Linked DNA regions of Diceros bicornis minor. The protein of the gene in region 2 purifies or fractionates together with the protein of the main gene of each other region. This does not show direct contact. Links are inferred from orthologs where the notes say so. Each region holds a gene or a part of one and is shown on either strand. Other genes may lie near its edges. The genes, in order: WWP1 and ARRDC3.

Region 1 (3,909 bases), on a different chromosome or scaffold from region 2:
AAGTGTAAGGAGATACTGTCTCTAGGTGTATTTACAGTCTGTCTCTACAGTAGGGGTTCTTATCAACTAAGTGGAAGAATCTGAAGGCTCTACTGCCTTAAAAAGCCCCCAGTAATTCTGTGAGCAGCTCCCAGACTAATCCACTGGCCCATGGGTTACATGGATGAGCTTCAGGTGGTCCATGGACTCCCCTAAAATTATATCCACAAAGCACAGGTGCACATGGAAATTTCCCAGGCCAGCAGATTTTAGTTTCAAGGATTAGTAATCCCCAAAAGGCTGAGAACCACTGCTATAAAGTAACACACATATGCCCAAGATAAAGCTTCCATGGATGTCGTTCAAAATGGTACCACTATTCTCCCAATCAACCTGGATGGGAATCTTAGCTATCTTTTACTTTCTTCATTTCCTCTCTCATCAAATTCTGTCTCTTCTACTTCCTTCCTCCTTCCCACTCCTATTATTAGTGCTGCAGTTCAGACCCTCACTACCTACAACCACAGCAATCAAGGCCTTCCTACCCCAGGGTCTCTCTACTTCAATTCACTCCACACGCTGATGCCAGATTAATCCTCTGAAAGCTAGGCTTTAATCATTTCATTCTCAACTCAAAAATCATCTGTAAGACACCCCCCCCCATCCAAGGTCATTAGCCAGGCATATACAACAATCATAAACCGGTCCAGATTTTTACTTCAAGCTTTACCCTTTCTACCAGCACACACACCGTGTGTCCCATCCAAACATAATGCCCTGCTCCTCCCCAAGTGTTTGACCTCGGTGCTCTCAGTCCCTTCTCTCTGCTTGGATTACCTTTCCCAGCCTATCCCGAGTCAGTCATCCTTCAAAACAAAGATTTCAGAAGCCAGCTCTATGAACTAACCCCACCTTGCCAAATCAGATGTGGGCTCTACCCGCTCTGAATGTGAATTCTCTACGCAACTTAACTATATGTTAAAAGACAAACGAGGCCTTTGTGTACAGTCCTACGTGCCTACCTCGTCTGTGAAAGCAGAAACTGGTATCATCTTCATCTTTATATTCCCCCAAACACCTCACACAGTCATGCAGCAGAGGCTAAGAACTGTGCAAGGAGGCAAAAGAAATTCCAGCCTTCGCGGGGTAAACAGCAAAGACGACTATTTCCTTGAAGGCAAAGACCTTCTCAGCGACATTCTCTATCATGCGAGGCTTACAAAAAACATAACCCTTAGTTACTGCTTTTCAAAGCCCTGGTGTGGTAGGTCTTAGAGACCTTTTTGCATTTTAAGGGAAGAACCATGTGAACATGTGAATAAGCTACAGCCCGAAGAACTCTTCCCCACACTCGACACTTCTTGATTTGAGCAGCTCCCAACACTTGGCCGCTAAGTTTTCAACTGAAAGAATAGTAACTTCTTACGAAAAGTGACCATTTCCAGTCACAGATAACGTGCCACTTGATGGCTAACAGCAAGTCACATAAATAAAAGAACGCCTTTCTTTCTTAAAAGGCGCGTTCTGCTCGCCCCACACACGGCGATTGAGCGAGGCAGGTGAGGCCGACTTAAACATGTGCTCCTGTAGAAATCTGCAGACCACTGTCCACTAGGAATTTCGGGCAAGAACAGCACAGGGAGGGAAAGGAGAACTTCGGGTGTAATTCCTGCCCACTCCTATTACCAATGGCACTTGGAAGCAGACGCTCAAATCTTTCTCGCACGTTAGCCTACACAGAAAGATAAAAACTTATCAAACAAACAAGAAAGCGACATCGAGGCCCTGGAAAACATCTCTCCCAGGAAGACTGCAAACGTCAAGGTAACAGACACCCCCCTCCCCGGCACGGAAGGGGTCGCAGCATCACGGGGGCCCACGGAGCCCACCCGAACCACGGTGGGGAGACAGCCCGCGCCCAGGCTGCTCGTGCGCAGGCTGCAGCGGCAGCGGGCACAGCGCAGGACGAGAATTTCAAAAACAGAGATGAAACGAGAAGGTGCAAGTCACCGACGAGCTGAGGACTAGTCAAAACTGCAAGGTCACCGCACCTCCCAGGTCACCGGGGGGGGGGCGGGGGCCGGGGGCCGGAGCGCACCGCGCGGGAAGCCCGTCCGACGGAGCCGTGCGGGGGGCCCCGCCGGCGTCGGAGCGGAGCCGCGGGCGGAGGGCCGGGCGACTCCCGGCACGCCCCTCGCCGGCCAGCGCTCGGGCCCGGCCCCGCGCGCCCGCTCTCCCGGCGCCGCAGGGCGGCCCGCGCCCCCCGAGGGTCCCGCCCCGCCTCAGCCGCCTCAGCCGCCCGCCGCCCGCCGCGGCGTCCTCACCGGCGCGACGCCGTCGGCCGGTGGCCCTCCTCCGGCGGCGGCGCCTCAGCCCTCCGCGCCCACGGGCGCCATCTCGCAGCAGCGCGGCCCCGGCCGCCAGGCCGCCTCCGCCGCTCGGAGCCCGCACGCCGCGCGCCGCCGCCGCCCGCGTCGACCCCACAGCCCCGCGGGAGCGCGCCGACGCCCGCCCCACCCCCGCGGGAGCGCGCCTCTCGCCCGCCCCGCCCCGCGCGCGGCGCCGCGGCCGCCCAAGCCTCCCGCTCCGGACCGGAATCCGGCTTCCCGCGAGCATGCGCAGTGAGGCGGCGCGACGACGCGTCTGGGAAACTCCGCTCCTCCGGGTCTTCGGAGCGGCCGAGGGGCCAGCCAATGGGAGAGGGGGGCGGGGCCTGAGCCTGGAAGGGGCGGGGCCGCGGCCCAGACTGGGAGGAGTCTTCCCCGAGCCGGGGGCGGCGGCGGGGCAGGCTGCTGCAGACCTGAGTCTCGGGTTCGAGGCCGGACCTGTGCGTGACCTCAAGTGAGGTCGTGGGGCGCTGGCGTTCAGTTCTTGAACGCTTTACAGCAAAAGGAGACTGTTAATATAGCCCCCTTGACCTAACCGAGTGTTTGACTTAGAACCCATTGGGAGAGGAAATAATAGCGTTTAGGGATGGTCATAAGCAGAGTGCCAGTCCATTTTTATTGGTACTCAAAACGTTCACTCCTCCCGCCCCCATGAGTACAGTGATAAAACTAATACTGAGCAGGTACCCGTGTCAGGGCGATTAATCCGTACAGCAGTGCCATATGGAAGGGTCTGTTCTCCCCATTTATACAAACCAATCAACTAGTCTAGAGAGGGGCTGTTGGTTCTGTGTGTGGCTTTTAGAAGAAAGGCCACCCTGCAAGTAGAAGTCACTGGTGACCGCATTGCTCACCAGATGACCTGTGCTTCTACTTCTTCTACTTCAGAGAGAGAATGAAGACCATCAAGCAGGGATTTCTGCAATTTTTGCCCAACTCTCTCACCCAAACCCCACAAATTACCTACATCCACACGCAAGCCTACTAGTTGTGCTCTGTCTCAGAGGCTGAGTGTCCCTGCTCCTCTCCAAGCAAACCTCTCCCTCCTGGGACCCCCTCCTTGACGTATCTCTAACCTCATCCTTTCTGTTGGGTACAACTCCTCAGTATAATCACATTTTAAGACTTTTCTGTCTTAAATTTTCCCTTGACTTTACAACCTCCTTCTAGTTCTCTGTCTTCTTCCATCATAACCAAGCTTTTGAAAGAATTGTGTACCACGGACAGCATTGACACTCCATGAATATTTGTAGGGTTCAATAAATATCTTTGGACTGAATGAATGCACATTCTCTTTCTCTCCATTACATCAGGTCCTACCCTCTGACTTGATACCTGGATTTGATGCACCCTATATCCACAATGATTATTCCAAAACATACATCTGAGCACGACACTCCACTGCTTAAAATCTTTCATTGGCTCATCAGAGCTTTTAAGACAAAAATAAACATGATCCTCAAGGCTTCTTTCATGCTTGCGTGCTCTGTCTCTCCTGTTATGACAAACTCTTCCGAGTCCCCTGATTGTGCTCACTGGTTTC
Region 2 (3,909 bases):
AATGGGGAGGGGGCAGGGGATACTCGCAGAGGCCCCCACCCTGCTCTCCGTGTTAATACCACTTTTCCTTCCCCTCGTGGCAGCCTTTGCACTCTCCCCCCGCAGGTCAAATCAAGGTAGCCCGTCTGGTGACTACATAGGTCGGCAAACACGCTTTGTTTCAGCTAAGAGGAAAACAAGCGTTCACAGAAGCTACCTGACGCCTTCCACCCGAACAGGAACGGGGTCCTGCTAACCCTGCCCACCCAAGTTCCCTCTGAATAGGACTGCAAGCTCAAGTTGCAACCAGGGCCATTGGGCACCTGTAAGGCCTGCTGGAGCTTCTGCCCTCTATGCTGTTGGAACCTGAACTTGTTTCTTTCGGGGGCCCCAAGAGGGGCGACAGAACGTTCTGTGACATGAGCCCCCGGCGCATCCCGAAGCCCGGGGAGTGACGCGAGTCGGGCGGCGGAGGCAGCTCTGGAGGGACCTTTACCGGCGCACGCCGGTTCCAAGCCTCGCCCCAGCCGGCGCAAGCCCACTCTCCCCACCCGCCCGCGCCCAATCCAATCAGAGCCTGGCATCGCCTTAGCAACAGGCTAACAAACCCGGCTCCGCCTATCGCCGTGCCCGGGGCGGGGTCTCGGGAACCAGGCTAGTTTGAGAGGTCCCAGTTTTAAGTCATTGAAACTATTCCAGTCTAAGAGCTCGTCCACGCTTTGCAGGGGTTGCGGGGCACCTCGTAGGGTGTGGGGCACGGAGTTTTCTTTACCATGAAATCACGGAGAAACTAATGAAATTGTGTTTGTGCCTATTAGTCGTTATTCTACTTTTACCCCACTGCAAGCCTCAACTCCTTAGAAACCTTTGTTTCTCCTCAACCATTTTATCAAAAGCTGCAATGTCCAGAAATGGTCAAACACAAACTCATGTGTCTGCTTTTCAACAAACACCAGGACTGTCATTGGGCATTTACAGTTCTTATCGGTGTTACCGCTTGGTGAGATTAACCAGAAATTATTTTCAGGATGCAAATTACCTATATGTAACTGAAAACCAAACTAAAGAATTGATTTCATCTAAATATTTTAAAAAGTAACGCATTGATGCTGTAACTCAAAGCATCCTTCATTTTCTACACTTGCCTTAGTTCAATTAGCACTTCCTCATGGAGGTCTATTTTTTAATATAAAAAATAAGGTAAAATGTGCTCTACTCTGAAAAATCGTCAACATTTAAACTGAATACTGCATTAAAAAGGAGAAGCACAAAATTACATAACCAGTTTTAACATTATATTCTTCTTGGGTTAGGAATTAAGTCATCGCCACCACCTGACGCGTGTAACCAATCTGCTGAGAGCAGAACAAGCGCCCCTCCTCACCACCCCCCAGAACTGGTCCGAAACAGGATTGAACCGCTTCTAACAAAGGGTGGAAACTTAGAAAAACAAGCTTAGAGTCTTCTATATTTCCACAATGTAACCATTTAAACAATAGATTGAAAATCTCAGGACCCCTTCTCCCTTTGACAACCCTTTATCTCCTTTTTTTAAGCAAAAAATCAAATCCAAGGTGCCGAATACTTTTTCAGTTCCATTTGACTGGCAAGGGTTTCATTGAATGCACGTTCCAAAGTTAGACATGATGCTCGGAAAAGAACATCACTGACCCTAAATGGCTTCTAAAACTGATTTGAAACATATCCTAATGATAGATACTGTCTTTTAAAATAGAGACTGCTTGATGTAAATTTCTAAAGAAACTGGAAAGAATAGGGAAAAAACACGTGGGGTGTTGATACCATATGTCAAAATAAGCCACAGAAACCCTTCATATCAAAGAACAATGATCAATTCTTTAAAGACTTTTGCGTGTCAATATTAAAAATGAAATACACCTATTAACCCACTTAACGTCATCCCATTTCTTCACTGAAGCTTAGTTTTTAACATCTAAGGTTGCAGAGTATAAGGAAAAAATCTAATATTGGACTACAGCTTTTAGCAATTCACTTGAAACCATATTAGTAAAACTACTGAATCGGATTTAAGCAGAATTCATAAGTAAGGTGCAAATGGATTGCAAGTGCGTATGGCACAGACCAAGCCGGCTATAGAGGTAGTTGAATTAAGTGCAGTTTGCAGTCACTTTGCAGATGCCTGCATGCATTACAGCTTAACACACGATGAATGTCAAGGAGAATCCAAATCTTCCAACTTTGCTAATCTTTATCAAACTGCTATCTATGTGTTATGCTGGAAGTAGAATTGTGTTATGCTGGAAGTAGAATTACATTAATTTAGAAAAACTGAAAAGGCACTCTCTCAAGGAAAACAGGTCTAATGATTTCTGAATAATATAAAAACTTACCTCTTTCGTGTCCAATTAAGATGTCTTTATGGTTGAAATATTCTACTTCTTCAGTGTAATTCTGTGTATAGGCAGTATTGGAGCCGGCGTTTCGAGATTCGGTCCAGCGTACTTTCGCATGTCCTCTTGCATGAATTTTAAGCGATTTTACTCTGATTTCCCCAGTAACTTCTAAATTCACCCTTCCTGAGACTGTATCCCCACTAGAATACACAGGGACATTGCTGTCATTGAGACAGTCAAAGCTTATTGTCAAACTCTTCACCTTTCCCAGCACCATGTTTATAACAAAATCTATAAAAATATAATGTAAGACAAAAAAAGTCAAGATCACATATAAAATGTGATCTTCACTTAACACTGATCGATGTCTTTGCCGTGCAAAAAGCTTGCAGGCAGGATCAGTGATTCTTTACAAATAGTTCATTGAGATTTCTTAAAAAGTCAGGGGAGCAGAGAGGCTGCTGCTCCGCGCTGCCGCTAGTCTCAGTGGTCTCCTTACAAAGACGGGCGGTTGGAGGCTGCCAGCTCACTTTAAGAGCAGCTTTGTGAAAAACAACCGCAGTGCGCATGCGCACGCGCCGCGGCTGCTGCCCGCCCTCCCTGCGCGCCCCCTCCCGCGCCGGGCTCGCTCCCTCGCTCGCTCGCTCGCGGGTACAGTAGGTGTGCAGCTAGGGGAAGACGGCTCTGGGGCTGCCGGGAGGCTGAACCTGACTTCTCTGCATTGTGGGCTCCTATTGGTAGGCAGGCTACCGTAAACCCTCGACGTGCTTACCTGGAGCCCCTTACCGAGCACACTCGTGTGGAAAGATGATGGCAGAGGGGGCCCTGGGGGAGAAGGGCTGAGTGGGGAGCTGTTCGCAAAGCCAAGTCGGGATGCACTGCGGGGTGAGCGGCCCGAAGCGTGCGTTACCGGCACTGCAGGGTTTTGCCCACTGCCTGGATGGGAGGAAGAAAAAGTGATGTGTGAAGAGAGATGGGGGTAGGGGAGAAACCGGTTGGGCAAGCGGCCGGTTGCTCAGCATAATCTAACGAATTTCCCAAGAAGATAATAAAAAGCAGACAAGAAATGATGTTCCGAGACAAGAGCATTCTTGGCTTGGTTCTTTTTTTTTTTTTTTAAACTAGTATTTTGTAGGCAGGGTGGAAATGAACTCAGTCTACGGCAAAGGAACTTTCAAGAGAATACTGTACGGAGCAAGGAAGAGAAGCAAGTATAATTTAATCAGTAGGTTTTGTTTTCTCTTCCATCTCTTAGATAGCAGCGAAAAATAACCCAAGTTGTTTGCATGATGACACCAGGGGGGAAAAAAGGCTTGACCACTTCCTCGAAGGAAGAAAAAGCCTGTTTTTAAGACACCACCTACAGCTCCATTTGCAGGGTATGACATGATTACAACTCCTGTGTCCAGAGGATTAAGAATAGACTTTGCCCTAAAAAAGTCCCACCTTATAAAAGGCAGCGTGACGTAGTGCTTTAGCTGACATAATGTTTACAAGAAGATCGAAAAATCTTTGTTAGACATTAGTGAAGCGCATAAGATAGTTTTTAAAAAGC

The links.
Region 1: the proteins of ARRDC3 (region 2) and WWP1 purify together in Homo sapiens (affinity purification with mass spectrometry; 4 studies listed by BioGRID and IntAct, counting the BioPlex papers as one, with this or other methods). This does not show direct contact. The link is inferred for Diceros bicornis minor from reciprocal best matches to the Homo sapiens genes ARRDC3 and WWP1.

What each region holds. Positions count from the first base shown.
Region 1 is NC_080772.1:36,154,341-36,158,249, reverse strand, and holds the start of WWP1 (NEDD4-like E3 ubiquitin-protein ligase WWP1), read right to left. Parts: upstream 2,426-3,909; 5' UTR 2,304-2,425; intron 1-2,303. UniProt on the Homo sapiens protein: E3 ubiquitin-protein ligase which accepts ubiquitin from an E2 ubiquitin-conjugating enzyme in the form of a thioester and then directly transfers the ubiquitin to targeted substrates.
Region 2 is NC_080740.1:17,721,880-17,725,788, forward strand, and holds the start of ARRDC3 (arrestin domain-containing protein 3), read right to left. Parts: upstream 2,863-3,909; 5' UTR 2,632-2,862; coding exon 2,352-2,631; intron 1-2,351. UniProt on the Homo sapiens protein: Adapter protein that plays a role in regulating cell-surface expression of adrenergic receptors and probably also other G protein-coupled receptors.